Oryctolagus cuniculus: one gene and its partners. The protein of the gene in region 4 interacts with the protein of the main gene of each other region in a pairwise test. Links are inferred from orthologs where the notes say so. Each region holds a gene or a part of one and is shown on either strand. Other genes may lie near its edges.

What was found.
Region 1: the proteins of UBQLN1 (region 4) and AGPAT5 interact in binary tests that used the Homo sapiens proteins (3 or more experiments, as listed by UniProt). The two-hybrid records come from large-scale screens. The link is inferred for Oryctolagus cuniculus from reciprocal best matches to the Homo sapiens genes UBQLN1 and AGPAT5.
Region 2: the proteins of UBQLN1 (region 4) and EFEMP2 interact in binary tests that used the Homo sapiens proteins (3 or more experiments, as listed by UniProt). The link is inferred for Oryctolagus cuniculus from reciprocal best matches to the Homo sapiens genes UBQLN1 and EFEMP2.
Region 3: the proteins of UBQLN1 (region 4) and FZD7 interact in binary tests that used the Homo sapiens proteins (3 or more experiments, as listed by UniProt). The two-hybrid records come from large-scale screens. The link is inferred for Oryctolagus cuniculus from reciprocal best matches to the Homo sapiens genes UBQLN1 and FZD7.
Region 5: the proteins of UBQLN1 (region 4) and ENTREP1 interact in a two-hybrid assay, tested with the Homo sapiens proteins (2 studies listed by BioGRID and IntAct). The link is inferred for Oryctolagus cuniculus from reciprocal best matches to the Homo sapiens genes UBQLN1 and ENTREP1.
Region 6: the proteins of UBQLN1 (region 4) and KLHL42 interact in binary tests that used the Homo sapiens proteins (3 or more experiments, as listed by UniProt). The two-hybrid records come from large-scale screens. The link is inferred for Oryctolagus cuniculus from reciprocal best matches to the Homo sapiens genes UBQLN1 and KLHL42.
Region 7: the proteins of UBQLN1 (region 4) and TXNDC12 interact in binary tests that used the Homo sapiens proteins (3 or more experiments, as listed by UniProt). The two-hybrid records come from large-scale screens. The link is inferred for Oryctolagus cuniculus from reciprocal best matches to the Homo sapiens genes UBQLN1 and TXNDC12.

The regions. Positions count from the first base shown.
Region 1 is NC_091439.1:113,092,042-113,095,541, reverse strand, and holds part of AGPAT5 (1-acyl-sn-glycerol-3-phosphate acyltransferase epsilon), read left to right. Parts: intron 1-1,893; coding exon 1,894-2,052; intron 2,053-3,500. UniProt on the Homo sapiens protein: Converts 1-acyl-sn-glycerol-3-phosphate (lysophosphatidic acid or LPA) into 1,2-diacyl-sn-glycerol-3-phosphate (phosphatidic acid or PA) by incorporating an acyl moiety at the sn-2 position of the glycerol backbone.
Region 2 is NC_091432.1:5,900,892-5,904,873, forward strand, and holds the end of EFEMP2 (EGF-containing fibulin-like extracellular matrix protein 2), read left to right. Parts: intron 1-1,092; coding exon 1,093-1,212; intron 1,213-1,286; coding exon 1,287-1,413; intron 1,414-1,649; coding exon 1,650-1,845; intron 1,846-2,997; coding exon 2,998-3,159; 3' UTR 3,160-3,482; downstream 3,483-3,982. Other genes in the region: crossover junction endonuclease MUS81, read right to left, coding at 3,765-3,831, 3,921-3,982. UniProt on the Homo sapiens protein: Plays a crucial role in elastic fiber formation in tissue, and in the formation of ultrastructural connections between elastic laminae and smooth muscle cells in the aorta, therefore participates in terminal differentiation and maturation of smooth muscle cell (SMC) and in the mechanical properties and wall integrity maintenance of the aorta.
Region 3 is NC_091434.1:37,924,836-37,928,978, reverse strand, and holds the start of FZD7 (frizzled-7), read left to right. Parts: upstream 1-1,343; 5' UTR 1,344-2,147; coding exon 2,148-3,872; 3' UTR 3,873-4,143. UniProt on the Homo sapiens protein: Receptor for Wnt proteins.
Region 4 is NC_091432.1:134,662,780-134,666,882, reverse strand, and holds the start of UBQLN1 (ubiquilin-1), read left to right. Parts: upstream 1-1,303; 5' UTR 1,304-1,569; coding exon 1,570-1,749; intron 1,750-2,754; exon of another isoform or gene 2,755-2,769; coding exon of another isoform or gene 2,770-2,775; intron 2,776-4,103. UniProt on the Homo sapiens protein: Plays an important role in the regulation of different protein degradation mechanisms and pathways including ubiquitin-proteasome system (UPS), autophagy and endoplasmic reticulum-associated protein degradation (ERAD) pathway.
Region 5 is NC_091432.1:161,045,866-161,049,365, forward strand, and holds part of ENTREP1 (endosomal transmembrane epsin interactor 1), read right to left. Parts: intron 710-3,500; coding exon 557-709; intron 1-556. UniProt on the Homo sapiens protein: Functions as an activator of the E3 ubiquitin protein ligase ITCH in the ubiquitination of the CXCL12-activated CXCR4 receptor. Thereby, triggers CXCR4 endocytosis and desensitization, negatively regulating the CXCL12/CXCR4 signaling pathway.
Region 6 is NC_091440.1:124,898,438-124,902,417, forward strand, and holds the start of KLHL42 (kelch-like protein 42), read left to right. Parts: upstream 1-1,180; 5' UTR 1,181-1,261; coding exon 1,262-2,133; intron 2,134-3,980. UniProt on the Homo sapiens protein: Substrate-specific adapter of a BCR (BTB-CUL3-RBX1) E3 ubiquitin-protein ligase complex required for mitotic progression and cytokinesis. The BCR(KLHL42) E3 ubiquitin ligase complex mediates the ubiquitination and subsequent degradation of KATNA1.
Region 7 is NC_091438.1:120,916,479-120,919,892, reverse strand, and holds part of TXNDC12 (thioredoxin domain-containing protein 12), read right to left. Parts: intron 2,150-3,414; coding exon 2,080-2,149; intron 1,401-2,079; coding exon 1,317-1,400; intron 1-1,316. UniProt on the Homo sapiens protein: Protein-disulfide reductase of the endoplasmic reticulum that promotes disulfide bond formation in client proteins through its thiol-disulfide oxidase activity.

The DNA of each region.
Region 1 (3,500 bases), on a different chromosome or scaffold from region 4:
GAACAACAAAAACCAAACAGTCCGATTAAAAATGAGCAAATGATATGAAGACACTTCTCAAAAGAAAAAGTAAAATAGCCAACAAAATTATAAAAAGATGCTCAACATTATCAGCTATTAGGGAAGTGCAGACCAAAGCCACATGAGATACCATCAATTCCAGTTAGAATGGTTATTATAAAAGAGACCCAAAATAACAAGTGCTGGTGAGGATATGAAGAAAAGAAAATGGATACAGTGTTGGTGGGAATGTAAGTTAGTCCAGCCATTATGGAAACCATTATGGAGGTTCCTCAAACATTGAAAACATGTCTACAGTTTCCACCTTTTCCACTTTTGGGTATATATCCACAGGAAATAAAATTGGCATATCATACCTAGACTCCCATGTTTATTGCTGCAGTATGCCCACTCGCTAAGATGGACTCAATCCAGATGCCCATCAGTAGATGAATGAATAAAGAATATGGGATGTAAACATAGTAGAATATTATTTGGCATCAAAATGGATGGAACTGGAGATCATTGTGTTAAATAAGTCAGATGCAGACAGATACTGCATGTTTTCTGTCATGTGGAAGCTAAAAAGTTGATCTGAGTGTACAATAGTGATTATTAGACATTATAGGGGTGGGACTGGAAGGAGACTAGATGAAGGGTGCCAAAGCACAGTTAAGAGAGAAAAATAAGCTCTAGCGCTCCTCAGCACAAGGGGATGACTGTAGCGTACAGTAACATCTTCATGAGCAGTCAGAAGCAGGGAGGCTCCAAACACCAAGGGTAAGGAAGTGGAAACATCGTGTACATGTAGAAGTATCACACTGTTCCCTGTAACTATGTACAACTACTATGTGGTAATCAGGAAGATTTTTAAATGTGTGTGGAGATGGCCGTGCCATCTACCCTCATTTGATCATTACACATTATGTTCATGTATTGGATTATCACTCTGGACCCCATAAATACGTACAATTGGATAACTTTAAGAAGCCACCTATCCATACTATGGAATGCTTTTTGCAGCCATTAAAATGGGTTGAGGTACTGATACACAACCATGTACGTAAGCCTAAAACATGCTGAGTGAAATAAGACACAAAAGGTTCCCTTCACGTGAAATATCAGGACAGGCAGAGCCATAGAGACCCAGAGCAGGTGGCCAGGGGAGTGTACAGTATACTCATGCTGCAGGTGTGTGTTGGGGGTGACGCAGGGGTGGTGATTGCACAGGTCTGAATAGACTGAAACCGCTGAATTGTGTACTTTAAAGTGGAGAATTTTATGGCATATGAATTATGTCTCAATTTTTAAAAGTGTATCAAGAAGCTGGATTCTTCAGTTTAAACTGAATAATATTAGGTTTGTATCTCACAACATATGGACCATATCAGCTCTCTTACGTTGGGTCTTATGCATAGTGGGGGACATTTAAGTTATCTCCGACTCCCCCATCACTGTTTGAAGAGAAATGGAGTTAGAGGATTCATGGACCAGGAGTCAGGAATTAAACTTGTTCTCCTGAAGCATCATGAGTGACCACGGGCAGGGTTCTTCATCTCGATTCAGTTGCCAGCGAAGGGGATCTAGCATTTGCCTGTGTCGGACTTCACCACACTGAAGGGTTCTCCATGGGTCCCAAGTTTCCTGAGGGCTGGTTTTCTGCCAGCTTCCAACACAGTGTCTTGTGCGTGCAGAAGTTTTATAAATATGTCATAAAGAGATGCTGATTTAAACAGGAGAAGTCATGTGAGAGTCCTTTTTGCACTTAAAGCCCTAAAGATATTAAATTAGTGTAATACTGTATTTTGGTCTATTTGTGGAAATTTAAACAAGTCAGAAGTCAGACTTAATGTGTTGGTAATTTATAGCCACACTGATTGACTTCTTTTCTAGGTCTTCCAGTATTAAAACATGTGCTAACACCAAGAATAAAGGCAACTCATGTCGCTTTTGATTCTATGAAGAATTACTTAGATGCGATTTATGATGTTACAGTGGTTTACGAGGGGAAAACTGACAAAGGGCAGCGGAAAGTATCACCGTCCATGACTGGTGAGTTGATGTTGTCTGTACTTGAAGCTGTATGCTTTGAGCACAGAGACACCTGAAACCACACATATGTACCTGAAATATGACACATACAAGCAATGACTCTTTATTAATGTATATTTCATTTTTCCTTCATTACATTTACTTGGTTTGTTTTTCAAGATGTTATTGACAGTAACAGTTGAAATGTAATTCATCCTGGTAAGTTAGGTATTTCTTGGCTGCCATATGAGTCTTTTGGGAGACTTCTCCTGTCCAAAATTCATCCAGAAAAAGATATTCCACAAATCATGGGAGGGAGCTAGCAGTGGGAGAACCATCCAGCAATATTGAGCTGTTCATTAATTGTCAGTGATAATCATTTCATAAACTGTTCACCAAGTATAGTGTCAGTGTTGACAAGGAGAATGTGTGATTTCCCTTCTCAAACATGTGCTGGATTTTAGAGACCTTTACATCTGTGTCAGATATAATGAAGAGAAGTTTTTAAAATATTTATTTTTAAATCAGAAGGAGATAGAGAGAAAGAGGTCTTCTATCCACTGGCTTGCTCCCCAAATGGCTACAAGAGCTGGAGTCTGGACCAAGCTGAAGCCAAGAACCAGGAGTTTCATCTGGGTCTCCCACATGGGTACAGGGCCCAAACACTTGGGCCATCTTCTGCTGCTTTTCCCAGGTGCATTAGCAGGGAGCTGGATCAGAAGTGGAGCAGCTGGGACTTGAACTGGTGCCCTGTGGGATGCCAGCATTATAGGCAGTGCTTTACCCACTAGGCTACAACGCCTGTCCTGAGAAAGTTTTAAGTGAGCACAGTAGTTTGGTGGAACTTAACCAAAGACACTGTTGACCATTAGAGAAATTTAAATCTAGGGGTAGGCAAACAGGGAAGTATTTTGTCTTTTCCCTGGGCAGCTGTTTGGACTTGAATCCACAGGCTTCCCAGGTTGCTTGCATCAGTATTGTCTCTTGAAGGTAGGTGTTCAAAGAATGAACCACTAGCACATTTTATATTTAAATTTCCTCTCAAAGCATTCCTCTGCATTTGATGTGCCTTTGAAATTGTATAGAATAATGCTCGTAGCTGCAGTGAAACATTTGCAGAAATAAACATTATTCAGGCATTTAGAGGTTAGCAAGGATAGAAAGGATTTCATCCAAACTTAAGCTCAGATTGTCTGGATATAATACTGTGCACTATTAAATTATTTAATAATCTGTTGTGTTCTTGAGATGCCAAGGATGTTTCAGAGTACAGAGAGAGTGCAGTTATAAAGTGATCATTCTGTTATACAGTGACCATATGTAGCTCACCTAAGTTTTAGAAGAAATGCTCTTTGATTCAAAGATATAGACAGAAGCTGCCCAGAGCGGGGAGGATTTGAGAGGGAGCTTGGAGGCCAGTGTCTCAAGTGCAAGTATTTCCATCTTAGGGATGATTGCTGTCCTCCCTA
Region 2 (3,982 bases), about 130 Mb from region 4:
GCCGCAGTGCCCCAAGACGAACTGTCACTTCTCCAGAACCTGCCCCGTACAGTGCACCTCCTTACCTACCTGGGCCTGCGGAAACGTGGGCCCAGGACAGGTGTTGGAGAGGACGGAGAAGACCCTGCTTGAGCTGCCCATGCCTCGTACCTGAATACCTGAGTCCGAGCCCAGCTCCACTCACAGTCCCAGCTCCCTGCTAATTGGTGCCCTGGGAGGCAGCAGGTGGAGCCGCCGTAGCTGGGTGTCTGTCACTCACACGGGAGACCTGCACTGAGCTCTGGGCTTCCCTGACCCCCGGCTGTTGCAGCTCTTTGGGGAGTGAACTACGAATGGAAGGTTTCTGTCTCTATGCCTTTCAAATAAAATGAAAATGAAATAAAAAACAGAAAGAAAGAAAATGGTCTGCATGTGTAGCCCCCTGGGGGGTTTCAGGATTTGCAAACTAGGTCCCTCATGATCCCTCTAGTCTGACCTGTGCAAGTTTTTTAAACATATTTTTGTTTATTTGAAAGGCACAGTTATGCACACACAGGGTATATACACAGAGATTTTCCATCTGCTGTTCATTCCCCAAATGGCCGCTACAGCCAGGGCTGGGCCAGGCTGGGTTAGGAGCCTGGAAGTTCACCCAGGTCTCCCACGTACATGGGTGCAGGGGCCCGAGCACTTGAGCCATCGTCCACTGCTTTCCCAGGGGCGTTGGCAGTGAGCCGGATCGGAAGTGGAGCAGCCGGGATTTGAACCGGCACCTGTATGGGAGGCCAGCATTGCAGGTGGCGGCTTTATCCTCGGTACCACAGCGCCAGCCCCTCATTCACTCATTCTAAAGGCAGGGGAAGCGGGGTTCCCCAAAGTCCATCTGAGCCTGCAGACGCCCTGAGCTTCTTTGTCGTGGGGCCGGGCCGTCCAGGGGCAGGACTGGGAGCCCTTCTGTGACCCCTGTTGCCCTTTACTGGGGCGGAGGGCCTTGTCTCATCTCTGCCTCCCCACGTTCAGCCCGACACGTGATGGGCCCTGGCAGTAAGCCTTGTGGGGCTGACCCGTGAGGCCTGCCCCGGGCCCGGGGTCCTCACCCCCAGCCTTCCGCAGATATCGACGAGTGCAGCTACTCCAGCTACCTCTGCCAGTACCGCTGTGTCAACGAGCCGGGACGCTTCTCCTGCCACTGCCCGCAAGGCTACCAGCTGATGGCCTCACGCCTCTGCCAAGGTACGGCCTGCCCAGGTGGGGCAGGCAGGGGCGTCGGGGGCTGGCGGCCTGACGCTTCTGCCCCCTCCCCGCAGACATCGATGAGTGTGAGTCCGGTGCACACCAGTGCTCTGAGGCCCAAACCTGTGTTAACTTCCACGGGGGTTACCGCTGCGTGGACACGAACCGCTGCGTGGAGCCCTACGTGCAAGTGTCAGACAAGTGAGTCCCTGCTGTGCCAGCAGAAACTACAACACCCAGAAGGCTTTGGGGTGGACTGCTGCCCGCTTGAGCGGATGAGTGCCCACAAGGGCTGATGGGAGTTGTAGTCTTTCATGGCTAAACCCTGCCCACAGTTCCAGGGGAATGGAGCAGGTGGGCGAAGTTTCGGGGCCGGGGTGGGGGCCTGGGAAGATGAGCTAGGACTTCATTTGTGTCCCGCGCCTTGGGGTCTCTAGCCGCTGCCTCTGTCCGGCTTCCAATCCCCTGTGTCGAGAGCAGCCTTCGTCCATCGTGCACCGCTACATGAGCATCACCTCCGAGCGCAGCGTCCCTGCCGACGTGTTCCAGATCCAGGCCACGTCTGTCTACCCCGGCGCCTACAACGCCTTCCAGATCCGCGCCGGGAACTCACAGGGAGACTTCTACATCAGGGTAAGGCTCTCCCTCACCCCCAGCCCTCGGCTGAATTCCGGAAGCCTGGAGTGGGCCTGGAGTGGGAGACGTTCCCGTGGTTCCGTGCCATGCCCCGCCCCCGGGGAGGTGGGGCTTCTGTAGGGAGGTGGGGCTGCTCCCCGGGGCGGGGGGAGGGGGGAGGGGGTTAGGCCTGGTATGGTGTCTACCATCCGACCTCAATTTCCTCACCCATAAAACAAGGGAATGGTGTTGGGGGCTCGTGCAGGGGTCTGGGGCCAGAGGATGCAGCCCTGCTGGTGGGGCTGTAGGTGAGGGGGTCCACAGAGCAGCGCAAGTCTCAAGCCAGGGCCCTCGTGTGCGGTGTGTCTGCGGTCCGTGCTTGGGTTTTACTTATTCATTTTTTTTCCCTCTAAGGATTTATTTATTTGAAAGAGTTAGACACACAGAGAAAAAGATATTCCACTGGGCTGGGCCAGGCCAAAGCCAGGAGCTTCATGCGGGTCTCCCACATGTGTGCAGGGCCCAAGCACCTGGGCCACCTTCCACTGCTTTCCCAGGCGCATTAGCAGGGAGCTGGACTGGAAGCGGAGCAGCCGGGACTCAAACCAGCACCCATATGGGATGCCGGCGTCATAGGCAGCTGTTTTTCCTGCTACGGCACGCCAGCTATTTAAACTTTATTTATTTGAAGTTAGAGGGAGAGAGAGAGAATCTTCCATCTGCAGGTTCACCCCCTCCCCACATATCTGCAACTGCCAGGGCGGGGCCAGACTGAAGCTAGAAGCCAGGAACTCCCTCTGGGTCTCCCATATGGGCGGCAGAAACCCGTGCACTCAGGTCTCCGGGGGGACTAGCAGGAGCCGGAGCCAGGCACTCCCCTGTGGGACGCGGGTGCCCCCCGCAGGGCCTTCACCTGCTGTGCCACTGCGCCTGCCAGTTTTTTTTTTTTTTTATTTCTGGGAAGTGGGTGCTTCAAAGGGGAGTCTGCCCGCTCCAGTCACCAAAGGCCTCACCACCCCGCAGCGTCACACCTGGCCTTGAGCCCTGGTTGGACAGAACCGGCTGGGGGGGGGGGGGCACCTGTGGCTCCCCGAGGGCAGGAGGGGAGGGGAGACGGTGACTGGAGCAGGGTCCCGGAATCCAGGCTGACCCAACCCGTGTGCCCTGCAGCAAATCAACAATGTCAGCGCCATGCTGGTCCTTGCCCGGCCGGTGACAGGCCCCCGGGAGTACGTGCTGGACCTGGAGATGGTCACCATGAACTCCCTCATGAGCTACCGGGCCAGCTCCGTGCTGAGACTCACCGTCTTCGTGGGGGCCTACGCCTTCTGAGGGGCGGGTGGGGGCGCGGGGTGACTGCTCCGCTCACGTGCAAGATGCCGTTGTGAGGGGCAGAGAGGGACAGGCAATAAAGGGACAAAGGAGGAGCCCTGCTGGCCCAGGCCGCCGGGGAGGGGCGGGGCTGCCCCCAGAGGGAAGGAGGGGAATGTGCAGACTGAAGTGCAGTAGGCCTGGCTGGCCCCCTGCAGGGACCTGCGGACACCCCCCCCCACGACGGACAGCGCCACGGGCCCAGTCCCAGCTCCGGGCCAGGCCTCGGACAGCCCTCGCCGCTCCCTGGGCCTGTGTTCTAAGTTATAAAGGAGGCAACTGCTTGCTGTGGTCTTCCACTCTTCTTTCCCAAGCCAGAGAACCTCGCAGCAGCGGGACTCTGCTCAGGGACCATCCGCTCCTGCAAACCAGGTCAAGGTCGCCGCGCACTGCGGCCCCAGGCCCGGGAGCCCCAGGCCTGGAGGACTCGCTCTAACGACTGCTGGGCCCACGCGCCCCCCACACACCGAGGCTGCAGACTTCATTTTTATTGTGGCCCGAGGCCCTGGTTAAAAGGCCTGGGAGGGAGGGAGGGAGGGAGCCGGGGCTCTGCCTCCCGGCGCAGCTCAGGTCAGCGGGCCGCAGCTGCAGTAGAGCTGGGATAAGGTCCTGCTCAGAACAGGCCCCAGGTTCCTGCAGGAAGAGGGGCAGGTGAGGGCCCCCTGGGCCCAGGGCAGCCCCGCCCCGCCCCGCCCCTGCCGCGCCCCGCCTCCTGGCCTCACCTCTGCAGACGCCCGCACTTGACGGTGCTGAGCAACATCTCCTGCTCCTTGGGGCTGCCGCA
Region 3 (4,143 bases), on a different chromosome or scaffold from region 4:
GGGGCCGGCCCGGATAACGATTTGAAAAGCAGAGGATGAAACAGAGGCTCGGCGGCGACTGGGGGGGGGGGAGGGGGGCGGGGGGGCGGCAGTATTTTGATTTTTTTTTTCTTCCTAAACATGTCACTGAAGTCACTTTCCCGCCTGGAATCCCCGCTATACTCGGCCGCCCCGAGAGAACCGGGAGGCCCTCTGGCCACTTGCGACCCCGCGAGCGCCCCGCGCCTGAGGCAGGAGGAAGGTTTACCGAGAACAAAAGAACGCTCGCCAGTCCGGAGGCGCTCCCGAGAACAAGGGGAGCCCCTCTCCGGGTCTGGAGAACGCGTTCAGGAGCAGCGGCCCTGGTTTCTGACACGCATGGCAACTTTCCTGGGCAGATTCCAAATGGAGGATCAGATCATGCTCCCGCAACGGAGACGGGTCCCACCCCCAGGCCACAGGCCCACAGAAGTAAGGGGCACAGGGCCCCGGCAGAGGCTCTGCGAGTCGTACGGAGTGTGCCGGGCACTCGGGCCGGCCCCGTTTCCTACGGCCTCGCCGCGGCCACCTCAGCGGGCGGCGGACTCCCGGGCCGGGAGGAGCGCGGGCGGGACGGCCCGGGGCCCCGCGCCTGGAGTCCCGCGCCGGACCCGCTCCTCGAGGGTCTGCACTTCCTCCCGCCTTCGCTCTCGGCCCCCACGGCTGCCGCCGATTTCTCCTCCGAGGCCACCCCTCCTCCTTTTTACAACCGGGGGAGGGGGTGCGAGGGGACCGCAGCCTTACGCGGTCTGCCCGGCTCCGGAGGGAGAAAAGCAATCCGCAAGGCGCGCCCCCTTCCCACCCCGTCCGGATCCGCACGCTTAGGATCCCGCCACCCAAAGCCCCCGCCAAAGCTCAGCGTTTCCAGCCGGGAAGCGACTGAAGCGGCTCCGGGCCCCCGCTCCCCGGCCGTGGCGCGGCGCTATTCTCGACTCTGAGGCGAATGAGCCCTTCTGCTCAGGAATGTGTGTTTAGTGCACCCGGAAGAGGAACAAATCTTTCAAGTAAATTCCCTTTCTGGTGCGTTTTTCTCCCCTGAGCCAATGCAGGGTAAAAGTTTTTCCCAACTTTTCCCTCCCAGTCCCCCGCCCCTCCCCTCAGGAATCCGCCCAGAGCGCAGCAGTCACCGCCTCCCCCCACCCCCGTTCCCTTGCCCGCCCCTTCCGACTTCCACCCAATCCAGAGGCGGCCCCAGAGAAAACAAAGGCCACCATTGGGCCGCGCCGGGGCGCGGGCACCGCCCCCTGAGTGGTTTGTGAATGGGGGGAGGGGAGGGGGCGGGTCGGCCGGAGCGCTGCGAGCCCGACGCTTCTTCTGGCCACCGGCGCGGCTCCCAGGCGTTACTCGGCGCTCCCTCCCGGCGGCTGGCGGCGGCGGGCGCCGGGACTCGGGGGCCGGGGCTGCGCGAGGCCGGAGAGGCCGGGGCCAGGCCGCGGGCACAGGGGCCTCGCCGCTTCAGACGCCGAGTGACTGTGCTTGCAGCAGAAGTCGCCGGGCTCCAGGCTCTGAGGCGCCGGTGGGACTCAGCGAGAGCCAGCCGTTTGGGGCTGAAACTTGGGGCCGAAGAAGGCGCGGGGCGTGGAGGAGGAGGCGAAGGAGGCGGTGGCGAGCCGAGCCTCGAGGCGAGGAGGCGGAGCAGCACCTCCGAGGCGGCGGCCCCGGCGAGCAGGCGGCGGCGGCGGCGCCGGCTCTGACCTGGCGGGGGCCGGACTTGGAGTGGGGGGCGTGCGCGTCCGTGTGCGCTGGGTTGGGTTGGGGGGAGGGTTCGAGAGACTTCGGCAAACTTTGAAGGGGAGCCGGAGACGCTTGTTGCTCCTCGCCGCAGAGAAAGGCGCACCGTTACGTCCCCGCAGAGAGGGCCAGGCCGTCCCCCTCCGCGCCCCCGGCCCAGACTGACGCGTTTGGGCCCCCGGCGGCCGCGCGAGCGCCGGGCGGAGGCGGCTGCGGCGCCCCCGCGGCGCGGGCACCCCAGCGGCAGCTCCCTCGGCTCCGCGCCGCCCACGGCCCGGCCCCGGCGCCGGGAGGACTCTCATGCGCCGGGCGCGGCGGCGCCTCCCGGCATCCAAGCCTCTCCCAGCCGCCTCATCGCACTCCCTGGGCTGAGAGCGTCGCTGCACTCGCGGCCGGCGATGCGGGGCCCCGGCGCGGCCGCGTCGCGTTCGCCCCTGGGCCTGTGCGCCCTGGTGCTGGCGCTGCTGGGCGCGCTGCCCGCGGGCGCCGGGGCGCAGCCCTACCACGGCGAGAAGGGCATCTCGGTGCCGGACCACGGCTTCTGCCAGCCCATCTCCATCCCGCTGTGCACGGACATCGCCTACAACCAGACCATCCTGCCCAACCTGCTGGGCCACACGAACCAGGAGGACGCGGGCCTCGAGGTGCACCAGTTCTACCCGCTGGTGAAGGTGCAGTGCTCGCCCGAGCTGCGCTTCTTCCTGTGCTCCATGTACGCGCCCGTGTGCACCGTGCTCGATCAGGCCATCCCGCCCTGCCGCTCTCTGTGCGAGCGCGCGCGCCAGGGCTGCGAGGCACTCATGAACAAGTTCGGCTTCCAGTGGCCCGAGCGGCTGCGCTGCGAGAACTTCCCGGTGCACGGCGCCGGCGAGATCTGCGTGGGCCAGAACACGTCCGACGGCTCCGGAGGCCCCGGCGGCGGCCCCACCGCCTACCCCACGGCGCCCTACCTGCCGGACCCGCCCTTCACCGCGCTGCCCCCGGGGGCTGCGGACGGCAGGGGCCGCGCCGCCTTCCCCTTCTCGTGCCCGCGCCAGCTCAAGGTGCCCCCCTACCTGGGCTACCGCTTCCTGGGCGAGCGCGACTGTGGCGCCCCTTGCGAGCCGGGCCGTGCCAACGGCCTCATGTACTTCAAGGAGGAGGAGAGGCGCTTCGCCCGCCTCTGGGTGGGCGTGTGGTCCGTGCTGTGCTGCGCCTCGACCCTCTTCACCGTGCTCACCTACCTGGTGGACATGCGGCGCTTCAGCTACCCAGAGCGGCCCATCATCTTCCTGTCGGGCTGCTACTTCATGGTGGCCGTGGCGCACGTGGCGGGCTTCCTGCTGGAGGACCGCGCCGTGTGCGTGGAGCGCTTCTCGGACGACGGCTACCGCACGGTGGCGCAGGGCACCAAGAAGGAGGGCTGCACCATCCTCTTCATGGTGCTCTACTTCTTCGGCATGGCCAGCTCCATCTGGTGGGTCATCCTGTCGCTCACCTGGTTCCTGGCGGCCGGCATGAAGTGGGGCCACGAGGCCATCGAGGCCAACTCGCAGTACTTCCACCTGGCCGCGTGGGCCGTGCCGGCCGTCAAGACCATCACCATCCTGGCCATGGGCCAGGTGGACGGGGACCTGCTCAGCGGCGTGTGCTACGTGGGCCTCTCGAGCGTGGACGCGCTGCGGGGCTTCGTGCTGGCGCCGCTCTTCGTCTACCTCTTCATCGGCACCTCCTTCCTGCTGGCCGGCTTCGTGTCGCTCTTCCGCATCCGCACCATCATGAAGCACGACGGCACCAAGACGGAGAAGCTGGAGAAGCTGATGGTGCGCATCGGCGTGTTCTCGGTGCTCTACACCGTGCCCGCCACCATCGTGCTGGCCTGCTACTTCTACGAGCAGGCCTTCCGCGAGCACTGGGAGCGCACCTGGCTCCTGCAGACGTGCAAGAGCTATGCCGTGCCCTGCCCGCCCGGCCACTTCCCGCCCATGAGCCCCGACTTCACGGTCTTCATGATCAAGTACCTGATGACCATGATCGTGGGCATCACCACGGGCTTCTGGATCTGGTCGGGCAAGACCCTGCAGTCGTGGCGCCGCTTCTACCACAGACTCAGCCACAGCAGCAAGGGGGAGACTGCGGTATGAGCCCCGGCCCCTCCCCCACACCCTGCCCGCGCCCACCCGCTGTGAGTGGTGGTGGGGGGGGGAGGCGCCGCCGGGAGAGAACTGTCGGGTGGGTAGGGGGGCTTGTTTTGGTCACCACCTTTCCCTCCACCGGGAAACGACCGGGGAGCGAGTTGTTTGCAGAATTGGGGTGGGGGCCGCGGAGGTGGGGGTTGGAAAGGAGGCCTTAGTGGAAAGTGGTTTGGATCAACAGACTTCTGGCAAAGACTTTCAGGCTGATGATGATGGTGGT
Region 4 (4,103 bases):
GCTATCTTCATTGCAATCTATACCTTCAGAACTTCTTGTAGATACAGTCCCCACAGGCTCCTGCTAAACAAACAAACAAACAAAAACCCAGTGTTTATACAACAGTATTTATTATAGAACGGGTTGGGGTGGGTATCGGGGTGAGCAGCGCGTGCATCGCATTCTGCGTTTTGACTGCCGAAACCTTTCCTGTCTTCCAGCCTGATTTAAAAAAAAAATCGACTATGACGTAGGAATTGCTTTCAGCCACGTCTTAGGCCTAAAGGAGTGCAAAAACAGTGTGTGTGTGTGTGTGTGTGTGTGTGTATGTGCTTAACCGGGGCCCTTGCGGGCGCTCAGGGTTTACAATTGGGCAATACTGCTTAATACAAGGTACTGGGCTGTACTTTGCTTGCAAGTCATCTTTAAACCAAACGATGACATAATTTGCAAACGCTGGCTTCTCAGAGGTACACTAACTTCCTGCTCCTGCGCGCACCGAGACAGGTTGACCGATCCTAGGTGTCACCTAAAACAGGAACTGGGATGGAGTAGGAAATGGACAGCGGCTGGGCCCCGGGGGAGCCGCCGCGACCTCGCTCGAGGGCGGGAAGCGCAGCCCCCAGCGGCGACCCCGCGGGTTGCGCAGGGGTCCCAAGCGCCCACTCCATCCTCCTCCCGCCGTGATGAACACCTTTCCCCCTCCTCCGTTAACTGTCCTCCAACTCCCGTGCCCAGAACAGCCACAACACGCCTTGACGTCTTCCACGCACGCAACACCTAGCATAGTGAAATAACAAACCCCCTCACCGCTAATTAACCCCCAGACGCTCCCCGCCACGGGTCCCGGACACGGAAACCTAAGTCGGGGAGAAGCCAGCAGGCCAGGCCAGGCGAGGCGAGGCGAGGCGACTCCTCGCCCACCGCAGAGTCGGGGAGCGACGTAAAAGGGTGGGGAGACTACCGGGATCACGAGCGCGCAGGCGCACACTCGGCCGCGGCCCTCAGTGGTCGAACCCCTTTCTAGTAATTTCGCTACCCGTGACGTCATCGCGGCGCGCCGCCACAGTGCGCCCGGACACCGCGTTTTATTTTTTGGTGAAGTGTGTGTGTGTGGTGAAAGGGGAGCTGTTAAAAAAAAATGAAAAGCCTCAACTCGCCCCATTTTGCTCTTTCTCCCACACTTTGGGCGGGAGAGGAAGAGACACCGAGCCGGAGCCCCCCAAAGCGCGCCGGCCGGGGGATGACTCGGCGCCGTCGCCGGCCGCGTTACCCGGCGTGCCCCGCGCGGCGCCGGCGCAGGAGCGTGGGGGAGGGGCGGGGAGGAGGAGGAGGAAGCGGCGGCGGCGGCTGCGGATGTCGCTGCGAGCGAGCGGCGGCTGACTCCGCGGCGGCTGCCGAGCGCCCGAGTCGGGCCTGCCTGCGCCGGCCCCCCAGCGAGCGCGGCTCCCCGGCTGCCAGGGCGGCCCCGAGGCGGCGTTGCCCTGCCTTCCCCGCCGCCCGGGCCGGCCGGCTCTGGCGTCGCCTGGCTCGCCCTCGTTCGCCCGCTCCCTCCTGCTCGCCTGAGTCACCGCCGCCGCCGCCGCCGCCATGGCCGAGAGTGGTGAAAGCGGCGGCCCTGCGGGCTCGCAGGACGGCGCCGCCGCGGCCGAAGGTGCTGGCGCCGCCGCCGCCGCCGCCTCGGCGGAGCCCAAGATCATGAAAGTCACCGTGAAGACCCCGAAGGAGAAGGAGGAGTTCGCCGTGCCCGAGAACAGCTCGGTCCAGCAGGTGAGGCGGCCGGAGCGGCCGGTTTCGGGTGGGCCTCGGGAGGTGCCGCGGGCTGCCCTGCGGGTCTCAGGCCGCCGCGGGTGGCACCCAGGTTGGGGGCTCGGTCCGCCGAGGTCCGTGTCGGGGCCGCCCCGCCGCGCCGGGCCCGGAGCCGTCCTCGCGTCCCCCGGTGCCCAGCTGCCCGCCCGCCGCCGCCTCCCCTGCAGCTCCGCACAAAGGAAAGGGACCAGCGGCTGCCTGCGGGCGGGGCCGGGGGTCCGCGCCGGTGCGGGCTGCGGTTTTGTGCGGCGGATCTTGGAGGCGGTGCGGTTGGGGTCGTGTGCGTGTGTGTGCTTTGTTCCACCTGCCCGCGGGTTGGGGTGGGTATCGGGGTGAGCAGCGCGTGCATCGCATTCTGCGTTTTGACTGCCGAAACCTTTCCTGCTTTCCAGCCTGATTTAAAAAAAAAAAATCGACTATGACGTAGGAATTGCTTTCAGCCACGTCTTAGGCCTAAAGGAGAGAAGCGGACGACTTTCGTTCATTGATGACTTCCTGTTTCTTTATTGTATTGCATTTGTGGTCTTTGGGATGCCCCGTCGGGTGGGGTTTTGTTTGCGTTTTAGAGGGGCTGCAGCGACTGAGCGGGTACAGCAGTCGTGAGTGGGTGAGCGGAAACAAAGTGGAGTTAGTGGAGATGAGCAGATACTCAGTGGTACGGATTCCGCGGGTCACCCGGGAAGCCCGCTCGCACGAGCACCCGGTCCCGGCCTGGGTGTGAGCCGGCCCTGGGGACGGAGCGCGGTGGGGCCGTGCTTGGTGGAGCGGTGAGGAGTGTGGGACCTCCTGATCAACTCCATCACTCTGTTTTTGTCTCCCAGCATCCTTAACAGTTTTCCTTGACATGTTTATATACGTGTAGAACGGCTGGAAGACGAGCCACGAGGGTGACCCTCGCCTGAGATCAGTGTTTTCCTGCATTCGCTCAGCTGTCTCCTCTGTTGTAATAGACTGCGTCTTGGATGTATTTCCGAGTTGCTGATGTCGGTATGTGTAAACCTGAAAGGCATTGCCAAGCATTGTGTGCGTCATTAACTTGAGGCGCCCCCCCTTTTAGGTAAATTTGACATGAAATTCACCAGGGTTGCCATTCTGTTCTCAAATGCCTTCGTCTTTGTAGGTCAAGCTGGTAACAAGGTGTAGAGTATTCTCTTCCTGACTGACTAGAAAGTTTACTCTTGCCTGTCCCAGTCAGTTCAGTCACTGCCCCACCCCCCAACTTTTGTTTTGTTTCTTGTCACCATATGTCACGTTCGCGTGTTCCAGAACTTAAGTGGAACCATACAGTATGTAATGTACTCCTCTGGGTAAGGCTCCCTCCTCCCCGCATGATGTTTGTGAGATTCATTCTTGCCTGTATGAGTAGTTACTCCTTTTAGTTGTTGTGCAGTTTCCACTGTATGGATAAACCATAATTTCTTCGCCATCGAGGGTCGCCTGGGTTTCTGGTTGGTTACTGTGCAAATCTTTCAGGGATGTCTACTTTGATCACTCATGGTCAGTGTTTAGAAATGGAACGATAGTCATAGGGCAGTTGTTCAAGTGACAACATTAAAAAGAAACTATTAGTGCTCTTACAGTTCCAGCAGTGACATATGGGAGTTCCTGTTGGTCCACAGCCCTGCTGACAGTTGACATCAGAAGTCTTCACGTGCCCACTACTTTACTGTATGTGTGACCAGATTACATTCTTGAAGCCCTTTACTTTTCTTTCTGTGTTTCTTAATTCGGACCTTCACCATCCTAGCTGTTTTCAGCATTTTACTGCAAAAGATTGAGAATAGTTAATATTTTATAAATAGAAAAATTTATGTAGGTCAGCATCTGTAAGCATGATTTTTCTTTTTTGGGATGGTGCAATTAAAATTGTAAGGTCTGTGGAAGTTTTCATTTTTACCCCCTAAAACGAAAGTGAATGTTTTAAAAAGTAATAACTGTTCATTGTATTTTTTGGAAAAGTTCATTTGAGAGGCAGAGAGCAAGTGAGTGTGTGTGAGAGCGAGCACACAGTTAGTCTCTTATCCTCTGGTTCACTTCCCAAATGCTTGGCGGGGGCCCGCATTGGGTTGGGCTGAAGTCTGAATCCCGGAATGCAATCCAAGTTTCCCATGTGGGTGGCAGGAATTCAGTGACTTCAGCCAGCACTGAGCCTTCCAGGGTCTGCGTTTGCAGGAAGAGGGAGGCAGACGTGGAACAAGGCACTCTTATGTCAATGCAGGTGTCTCAATTCCTAGGTTAAATGCCTGCACTCCCGAAGTGAATTTTTCACGGATAAATTGAAGCTTTTCTGATGTAACTTTTTCTGATGGTAGTTA
Region 5 (3,500 bases), about 26 Mb from region 4:
TTTCCACCTTTGCATGAACTTTTTGAAGTTCATAATCAGAAAAAAGTTTTTTTAAAACTTTTTAAGTAAATAACATCCATACACAAACACGCTGAAAACTGACAGGGAGAGAGCGTGTGCATTTCACACCACTCAAAGTTCTGAAAACAGGGTTGAATTTCAATGATTCAAGCTACCTCAACAACAAGTGTTGAATTATAAAGGACAGGTAAAAACGAGTACACTCCTCCGGCTTTTTCCTTACCGATCATAATTCCACAGGGTTACAAGCACCTGGACTTTCAGGCCTGGGACTGTGTGACTTTCTTCCTGGGCTACGCGGTAGTGAGCAGTCCAATGCTTTGGGTGACAACGACTTTCAAACACAAACCCTACCAGCCTCAGAAGACGTGGCCCAGGGCCATCGCTCCCGTGCGCGTGGAACGCCTGGCTCTCCCCGGGACGCTGAGCCTCCCTCCAGAGACCACAGAACCTGCAGGCCACAGCCACCTGCTTTGCCCTGGCGCCTTTGGACAAATGAGCAGAGCGCTCTTCAGAGAGCTTGGGGTGAGCTCACCTCTCTCCTCGCAGTGATGGAGCACGGGGTCACTCTTTGACCTTGCCCGCAGGGGTGGGGGGGCTCTCCGGCTTCGCCCGGGAGGCCCCCGGTTTGAGTTGGGGGTGGATAAGGATGTGCTTTCTTCTCCAGGTGTGCTCGGGATGTCCTCACCTGATAGAGAGAGAGAAAACATAAATGATCCTTCTGCAGCCTTCAAAGTGCTGGGCAGGAAACACCTGCGGACCCAGGCCTGCCAGGGCCAAAGTGATACACAGTCACTAACATTTACTTAGGCTGCTGGCCCGGGGAGCTCTTTCCCAGCGCTATGGGAAAATCTGCCTCTCCAAACCACCCCTCCACACCTAAAACAAGCAAAACAAAACAAAACAAAACAAAAAAACGTTAAATTCAAAAGCGAAACAAAGACCCACGCCAAAATGTTCGTTTTTCCCAAAACAGCTCAGAATCTCCCTGGAGGCATCCTCCTGCAGCTCAGGATGAGTCTGGCCCCATGGAAGGGACCACCTGCACAGGTTGGGGAGGGGGAGCTGCCGTGTGGGCTGAGACCAAATGCAAGCAGAGGAGGAATCTGCAAACCCCAGAGCAGCGCAGGCCGGGCGGTGAAACTTGCAGACAGTGAAGTTAAGAGCTAGAGGCCATTCAAGGAATCAGCGAGCCCGCTCTGGAACTAAATGGCTTCTGCTCAGGACAACAAAATTGCATCGTTTGGAGGCCTGAGTTGTGGCTCAGGAAACTGTTGTTACAAGTGAAAGAATCAGAGGCAGGCATATGTCGCAGTAGTTGAGACACTGCTTGGGACGCCTGCATCCCCTCTCGGAGTGCCTGGTTCAAGCCCTGGCTCCTCGGCTTCTGATCCAGCTTCTTGCTGAGGCACACCCTGGGAAGCAGCAGACGATCACTCAAACAGCTGAATACCTGCCACCCACATGGAGATCTGGATTGAGTACCCAGCTCCTGGCTGTTGCAGGCCTCTGAGAGTGAACCAGTGGATGCAGTAACTCTCTCCCTCTCACTCTCTTGCTATCTCTATATCTCTCCCTGCCTTTCAAATAAAATGAAAATAATAAGTTTACTTTATTTAAAGATTTATTATTTGAAAGGCAGAGTTACAGATAGGCAGAGGCAGAGAGAGAAAGAGAGAGAGAGAGAGTCTTCCATCCACCGGTTCATTTCCCAGATGGCCGCAATGGCTGGAGCTAAACTGATCCAAAGCCAGGAGCCAGGAGCCTCCTCCAGGTCTCCCACATGGGTGCAGGGGCCCAAGCGCTTGGGCCATCTTCTACTGCTTTCCCAGGCCATAGCAGAGAGCTGGATCGGAAGTGAAGCAGCCTGGACTCAAACCGGCACCCATATAGGATGCCAGTACTGCATACCAGGGCTTTAACCCATTGTGCCACAGCGCTGGCCCCAGTTTACTTTTTAAAAAGTTTTAAATGGAAGACCTTGGGACAGACATTTAACCTAGTGATGAAGATTCTGGTTAAGACACCTGCAGTCCCATATCAGAATGGCTGGGTTTGATACCCAACTCCAACTCCTGACTCCACTTTCCTGCTAATGCAGGCCCTGGGAGGCAGCAATGATACCTCAAGTCATTGGGTTCTTGCTACACACATGGGAGACCTGGACTGGGTTCCTGGCTCCTGGCTTTGTTGCATCTGTTTTGGAGTGAACTAGTTGATGAGAGTTTTTCTCTAATTGGTTGATTGAAAAACATATAAAAAGATCAGCTTGTATTGTGGTACTGCAGGGTAGGCCATCACTTGGGACATTTACATCTCATACCAGAGTGCCTAGGATACAGTCCTAACCCCACATCACATCCAGCTCCCTGCTGATGTTCCTGGGAGGCAGCAGATGAGAGCCCAAGTGCTTGGGCTCCTGACACACAGGTGGGAGACTCGGCTGGAGTTCTTGGCTCCTGGTTTGCACCAGGCCCAGCCTCAGCTGCTGCCGGCATTTGGTAAGATCAGTGAATGGAAGAGCACTCTGTATATGCATCTCTTCCTTTCTCTCCTTGTCATTTTGCCTTGCAAATGAATATACAAGCTTTTCTTTAAAAATGGAAGAATTACAAACATAGCTGGGATCACAGTCCCACAGTTCTTCAGAAGATGGAAGGTGAACAGAACAGAAAAACCCATCCAAGGGGCACTGCTGAAAAACGAGGCCCTCTAAAATAGCTGAAAGTTGCTCCAGTATTTATTATCATTTGCAATTTTGTCCCGATAGACACTCCTCTGTGCCGGTTAAAACAGCCCCAGTGTGAGAGAGCGCTAACAGCACTCCCTTACATTACAAGGATAAGTGAAAACTGATTCTAGTATTTAATGGAAGACTGAAAATCAGAGTTCCCGTGAAGGCAGCATGCCCTGGGCCCAAGGTTGACACAGCGCAGGCTCACAGAAAACCCGCCCCCCCGCATTGGAAAAAAAAAAAACAAACTCAGTTTATCTTAACAGGAGAAAGCCACAGCTAAGACAATACGAGAATGGCAAATGGAATCTGTGCTCCATTTCACAGGTTCCTGAGAGTGGTCTGGTTATTCATAAAAGATTCAAAGGGCATTTTTCCTGTTCACCTATGGTCTCCCAGTTAGAAGCCTAACTGGTGATAATGTTGTACCTAGAAAGAAGGATATAGCTGGAGACACTTGCTCCAAAATTTTTTTTTTTAAGATTTACTTTATTTGAAAGGCAAGAGAGAGAGAGAGAGAGAGAGAGAGACTGAAAGAGATCTTCCACCCACTGTTCACTCCCCAAATGGCTGGAACAACCAGGGCTAGGCCAGGCCAAAGCCAGAAGGCAGGAGTTTCTTTCATGTCTCCCATGTGGGTGGCAGGGGCCCAAGGACTTGGACCATCTTCTGCTGCTTTCCCAGGTGCATTAGCAGGGAGCTCAATCGGAAGCAGAGCAGCCAGGACTCCAACTGGCACCCATAT
Region 6 (3,980 bases), on a different chromosome or scaffold from region 4:
TCCGAAGTCAGGAGCGCTGATGGTAGAGGTGAGTCTTCTAACAGCCACGTGCAGTGTTACAGTTGTCTGAATCCTAACGGAGGTGCTGGTGTCAACCCTAACAAAAATAAGGGAAGCTAGGGTTCTGACCGCTGCTGCTGGACAGTGACGACCCCAAGAGTCCGCTTGAACCACGCGGGCTTGCACAAAGGGCACTAACACAAAACGGACTTGTGCAAGGACCTCCGCGCGGTCACTGGCTGGCACCCCGTTCCTGGTCAAAGCGTCTTCTGGGAATCCTCGATTTTGCCCTTAAAAACCTCCCCTGGCTTTGCCCCCCTGGCGCCCGCCCGCAGCTCCCCGGGTGGCGCGCGGGGCTTCCCCTCGCCGTGGGATCCGCAGATCTGGCCTTGACTGTACCATCTTTGTGTTTGTCAGCAACCGAGAGGACGCGGAAAAGCACAGGGTTTTGCCTCCTAGTTCTTACGGGGGGGGGGGGGTAGGACAAGGAGGTGGTGGGAAAACCTGATTCTAAAACAGAGGGCACGTGGGCTGACTTCACGGACACGAGGGGGACCGCGGCTGTCCCTGAAGAGAGACGAGGACGCCGGACCCCAGACCACCTGGGCCGCCGGCCGGGCCCTTCTCCCACAAGATGGCTCCTGCTCGACGACCACACCGGACAGGTGGCTCCGGGCGCCTGGGCCTTGAGGGGGCGACCCCCCGGTTTGGCCCCCGGACCCGGAACTCTCTTCAGCCCTTCCTTGTCACGCTTGCTCCCCCTTCCTTCGCCCTGAGCGAGCGGCCGGCTCCGGGCTCCCCCGCGTCGGGCCGCCGGCGTCCCCGCAGCCCGGCCCCGGCCCGCACCTGCCCGCGCGCCCCCCACGCCGGGTCCAGCCGCGGCGCGGCCGGCGGGCGGAAGTGCGAGGGCCGGCGGGGGAGGAGGCTGCCGGCGGCCGGCTGCGGGCTGGGATTCCCTCCCCGCCTGACGCGGCGGCCGGGGGAGCCCGCGCGCGGCGGCCCGGCCTTTTTTGGTGCTGAGGGAGCCCCGCAGGCTGGGCCGCCCCCGGGGGTGGTGGTGGTGGTGCTGAGGAGCTCGGCCCGAGTCCCCGTCGCCGCCGTCGCCGCCGCCCGGGAGGAGGGGCTGCCCGGGAAGCCGGGCGCAGCCGCGGCCGCCCTCGCCCGCCCGCGCTCCGGGCCGCCCTGCCGTGGCGCGCCCCGCGCGGCCCCGGGCTTGCGCGCAGAGCTGGCGGGCAGCGGCCCCGCGCGCGGCGGCTCAGCCATGTCGGCCGAGGAGGTGGTGCAGATCCGCCTGGAGGGCCGCTGCTACCCGGTAAGCAAGAGGAAGCTCATCGAGCAGAGCGACTACTTCCGCGCCCTCTACCGCTCCGGCATGCGCGAGGCCCTGAGCCCGGAGGCCGGCGGCCCCGAGGTGCAGCAGCTGCGCGGCCTGAGCGCGCCGGGCCTGCGGCTCGTGCTCGACTTCATCAACGCCGGCGGCGCCCGCGAGGGCTGGCAGCTGGGCCCGCGCGGGGACAAGGGCGGCGCGGGCGATGGCGAGGAGGAGCTGGACGAAGCGAGCCTGCTCGCCGCGCTCGTGGAGGCGGCTTCCTTCCTGCAGGTCACGTCCCTGCTGCAGCTGCTGCTGTCCCAGGTGCGGCTCACCAACTGCCTGGAGCTGTACCGCCTGGCGCAGGTGTACGGCCTGCCCGACCTGCAGGACGCCTGCCTGCGCTTCATGGCCGTGCACTTCCACGAGGTGCTGTGCAAGCCCCAGTTCCACCTGCTGGGGTCGCCTCCCCCGGCTCCGGGGGACGTCAGCCTCAAGCAGAGGCTGAGGGAGGCCCGGATGACGGGGACCCCGGTCCTGGTGGCCCTGGGGGACTTCCTGGGCGGCCCCCTGGCGCCGCACCCCTACCAGGGGGAGCCGCCGTCCATGCTCAGGTACGAGGAGATGACTGAGCGCTGGTTCCCGCTGGCCAACAACCTGCCCCCGGACCTGGTCAACGTCAGGGGCTACGGCTCGGCCACTCTGGACAACTACCTCTTCATCGTGGGCGGCTACAGGATCACCAGCCAGGAGATCTCCGCTGCGCATTCCTACAACCCCAGCACCAACGAGTGGCTCCAGGTGGCTTCCATGAACCAGAAGAGGTAGGCGCCTGGCCCGGGGCTGCTGCTGGGCGTGCAGCTCCCTGGTCCACTCCTTCCGTCGTTGCTCCAGGGTTTGCTGGGCAGCCCCCTGGGGGTGTGCTGAGGGTGGGGGAGGGATGACACCCCCGGAGCCGGGCTGGCTCTGGCGTTGGCGGGGTTCCCAGCGAGCAGAGGCCCCGGGAGGATGAGGTCAGCCAGCGCGCCTGGGTGGCTGCCTTGCAGGTCTTGTGTTCTTAAGCAACACGATTTTCCTCCTGGTGGGAAAAACAATGTGGCTTCCTAGAAGGGCCTGTTTATTTAAAAAAGGCTGCTGTTTAAGTTTCATCTTTACAGATGTTTCCTTCTTTTTAGTTTTCAGGTTCTGATGGTGATTCTAAAGACACACTGGACAGTTACCTGTCATGCTGACTTGGGGTGCCTTTTTTTTTTTTTTAACCTGTCAGTGACTTTGAAGCTTTTCACCCTAGAGCACCAATATATGATCAGGACACAGTCCCTGGAAAGTGACCAGAATTTGCTGTGTAGGATTCTGTCTTAGTTTTTGTTCTCTCTTTTGCTTCTTCCTTCTCAGTGTCATTGACCCAAAGGGTGAGCCTGGCGGTAGTCACCTGTGGAATTGGAATCCAGCCACCCTAGCTGTACTCAGGGCGCTGGTTCTCGGACCCAGTCGGATACCAGTCCTGAAGCCTTCTATGAGATGGCAGTGTTTGACATAACCTCTGCGTGTCCTTTCCCCCGCCCCAAACATTTTATGTCTTCTCTAGATTGCCTGTAATGCCTGTGGTATGAATGCTGTGTACATGATAGTTGATTTATTTATTTATTTGAGAGGTAGCGTTACAGAGACGGAGAGGAAGAGACAGACAGAGGTCTTCCATCCACTGGTTCACTCCGCAAATGGATGTACCAGCTGGATCTGGGCCAACCTGAAGCCAGGAGCCACGAGCTTCTTCTGGGTCTCCCACAAGGGTACGGAGACCCACACCCTTGGGCCATCTTCCATTGGTTTCCCAGGCCATTAGCAGAGAGCTGGATTGGAAGTGGAGCAGCTGGGTTTTGAACTGGCGCCCAGTTGGGTCTTGAACCAGCACTCATATGGGATGCAGGTGCCACAAGTGGAGGCTTCACCCTGCTACACCACAGCGCTGACTGTATGCTGTATGTTTTAAGGGAACAAGAGAGAAATTCTGTACACCTTCTGTACACCCGTGATTTTTGGTTTGGGTGTTGTCTCCCCTCATTTGGCTCCATAGAGATGGAGGGCCGACTGTATTCCTATCACCCCTACCATCTCCCTACCAGGTCTACAAACTCCACAATGACTTGAAGAAAGGAAAAAAAAAAAAAAAAAGGCAACATGGGGCCTGCGGTGGGTGGGCAAGTAGTAGAGAAAGGGGCCAAGCTGAGAGCAGGTACAGGAAGAGGTGGTGGGGCGGGGGGAGGAAAGGAGAGAAGGAGGGAAGCAGCTTCCTTTTGCTATCGACATCTTTATACGTCTGCCTGGAAGCGTGGAGCAGGGACTGCAGGCCTCACAGTGTGGGGAGTCCTCGTCACAGGTGCTGGACTCGGGGATGGGTTCTGCCACACCGCAAAATTCGCTTTGCAAAGTATGCTGCTTTCCTGGTGACACAGAACAGCGGAGTCACTGGAAATAGGAGAGTGCAGAGAAACCCAGACTGTTGCTCCCGCCGCCTCCTAGAGGCAGTAACTGCAGAGCAGCACGTTTTCTTCCAGCCTCTTTTATTTTTAAATTTGTACTTTTTATTTGAAAGATAGAGCGAGAGTGTCAGTTCTCACCTCCTGGTTCACTCCCCCAGTACCCTAACAGCCAGAGCTTGGCCATGCTA
Region 7 (3,414 bases), on a different chromosome or scaffold from region 4:
TCTATATTGGTGGTTCCACAATAGCATCCTTATATAATGCAGGCCAGGAGCTAGGTTGAGCCAGTGTCTGTAAATCTCAAAAAGCAAATACTCATAAAAGCCAGATGATACAGTTTGTTATTCCCCTTTTGCTTTGCTTATACTGTTAGTAAAGCCAGATCTGAAAGTTCCGGTTTCATGTCAGCTGAGCCACAAGGAATTCAGGGAACAATCTTGGGTTCACATCTGGACTACACTAATGTGGAGATGGCAGTGGTAACTTGGATGAAATTCCAAAGGGAGGGTGAATCTCAAGGTACAAGAGTCAGGGACCTGACACCACTGGCCTTCTCCAGGTAGAAAAGTTCCCTCTCTGGTACCAATCTCCCTGGATCTGCACTTGGCTAGGGAAGATGACATCTCCTTATGCAAGGGAAGAGGTGATGATGTCTCAGATCTCTACATTCTCCCTCTTCTGGGAATAAGAGTGCCAAGGACTCAAAACATAAAGTGACCAACAACCCAGCAATGTGAAAATATGGGACACCAGCAACTGGACTAACAACTCCTTTTTACAGATTAGGGGGAAAAGGAAAACAGCAACAACACACAGTATGAATTCCAACCCTGCCTCTAGAATGACTGCTCAAGGAGTAGGAAACAAAAAAACATGACTTTGCAATTTCAACTTTCCCTTGCCTGTTTGTGCTGATGCTGTTCTCTGTCTGGAATATGTTTTTTTTTCATTCCTTTGCCAACTAGGTCCAATTCTCCAGGGCTCAGGCCACTCATCATTTCCTCTGGCAGGTCTTATAGACTCTCCATGATGGGCTATACCCCTCCCTCCCTCAGCTTGAAATGTCCTTCTCATATCTGTCCAGAAACAAAGTCTTATACTTCTGGGTCCAGTTAGAGTTTAACATCTAAGTGTAAAACTTCTTAGAATTACCCAGCTAACAAGTCGTACCTCCTTCCTATGAATTCCTACAGGAAGAACAGTGTTAGTGAAGTGGAAAAAAACTAAGTTCTGAATCCAAATCCAGGCTCTGCAGCTTATTATCAGTAAGACTACGGGCAAGTGAGGTATTTCTGTGAGGCTCAGATCTTCACGGTTTCCTGTGGGTCATTTGGCTCTTCCACTGGATTCCAAGTAGCTAGGGAAGGACCTCAGTCTAAAGTTCTTTTCCTATATCCTAGAGTGGATCAAGGGAAAACTTAGTCTCACACAGGAGATGCTAGCTAACATGCTGAAGTGAGTTTCCCCCCAGACCTGTGCATGCTTCATCCTAGTTAAATCTAGCAGCAATCCTCCCTCCTTTTCCTCTGCATAGCTGTACCTTGCTCAGCACTGACGTAGAAATACTTGTAGCTTGGGTTTCCACTTTCATTGATGATTTCAGGACGCACCTTGCCACTGGGGTCTATTGGAGATAAAACGGCACAGAGGTTGAGTAATCACAACAGTTACTTCAAGCACTACACGGTATACTAGGCTCTGTGGGAAATTACACCTGTCCGTCTTTGCAGCCTACTATCTCACCATCCCAACCCTGCCTTTCAGGCTGTAATCACAATGATTCCTTGCAATTCCCTGAACACAGCATACACTTCTCACCCCTGGAGTCTGGTACTCGCTGTTGCCTCTTCCTGGCACGTTCCTTTACTGCTTGCCGGAGGCAGGATCATACATTTTTATTTGTGTCTTCTACATAATCTAGCAGAATGCTAAGTAAAGATTAGGTGGTCATTAATAACTCATAAAATTGTCTGTGGGAAGACATTTGTCTGGTTATACTATTCCATTGCCTCAGCTGCAGAGTAGGGTCAAGAGCGGGAATAGTGGCTTATCTCTGCCTAGCAAGGGCTGATGCTCAAATGATGGCTGAATGAATAAATGGATGGCCCGCCTCCTGTCCCTGAGTTAATGGGGAAGATTTTCCTCCAAACTTGCGGTTCTGGCACTCCAGACTCCCCAGCTCTCTTGAAACTGGCTGGTTTTGTTTTGGGCCATCCCAGTAGTTTAACTACATGGAGTCGGTCCCTTCAGGCATTTCTTCTCCATCCTACGATGGATCCCCACATGAAGATTTTGTGCCTTACCCAGGAAAAGGATTCTTGGAATATAACCCCCATCGGGGCTGAAATCTTCATCTTTTGGTTCCTCTTCATCCTATTAAGATTAAATGCGAACCTTGGGTCAGATCCTGTCCTCTCTCCTTGAAAGCTTCTGGTGGCTTCCTTTGTCACTCACAGGAGAACCTGAAGTCGCTGCGATACATAATCTGCCACCTGGGCGCTTCCCTAACTCCACAGGCTACCTGTTTTCAGTCTTCTTTGTTCGGCTTGACATTGCTGTCATTCAACAAGGCAAGCATGCTCCTAACTCGGGCTTCAGGGTTTGCTCTCACCCTCCGCCTGGACACACTTCCCCCATCCTCCACATGGCTTACTCCCCTTTCTGCTTCAGATCTTTGTTCACACATTACCTTCTTTCCTAACTATTTAAAATTTTAAGCCACCCACCACCCTTTAATTCTAGCCATAGCATTTATCACCAACAGTCATACTTTATTTATTTACCTGTCTCTCTACACTACAACGTTATTTCAGTGAGGGAATTGTATCTGCTTTGTTGAGTGCTGAAGTCCCAGTACCTACAGTACTAACTTGCAAACAGTATTTCTTGAATGCAAGAATGAATGAGACTGGCATTTTAGCTGTAACTGTGGTATTCTAGTCCTCCTGGGAGACACAAATATAATCAGTTTTTCTTTTTAAAAAATCTCTGAAGTTGGAGAATGCTCACTGAAAACGGTATTTCTGTCTCCTGAGTGGGGATCCTAATTAATCATAGACAGTAATTAGGAGTTCACGTGCATGGGAAATCAACAGTAATTTTATAACGTATGGTATGGTTCTCATTTCAGGGGTTAAGTGGGGTCATTTCTTCAGACTGAAATATAACTTTGCCTTGGTGAGGTGTATCAGCATTCAGGCCATCCATAAGCTGAAAAGCAATCCCTCAGCTTCCTCAATATTAATTTTTTTTTTTTTTTTTTTTGACAGGCAGAGTGGACAGTGAGAGAGAGAGACAGAGAGAAAGGTCTTCCTTTGCCGTTGGTTCACCCTCCAATGGCCGCCGCGGCCGGCGCGCTGCGGCCGGCGCACCACGCTGATCCGATGGCAGGAGCCAGATACTTATCCTGGTCTCCCATGGGGTGCAGGGCCCAAGCACTTGGGCCATCCTCCACTGCACTCCCTGGCCACAGCAGAGAGCTGGCCTGGAAGAGGGGCAACCGGGACAGAATCCGGCGCCCCGACCGGGACTAGAACCCGGGGTGCCGGCGCCGCAAGGTGGAGGATTAGCCTAGTGAGCCGCGGCGCCGGCCCTCCTCAATATTAATTGTTAGTACGTTCATAAGATTCTCAGTCCCA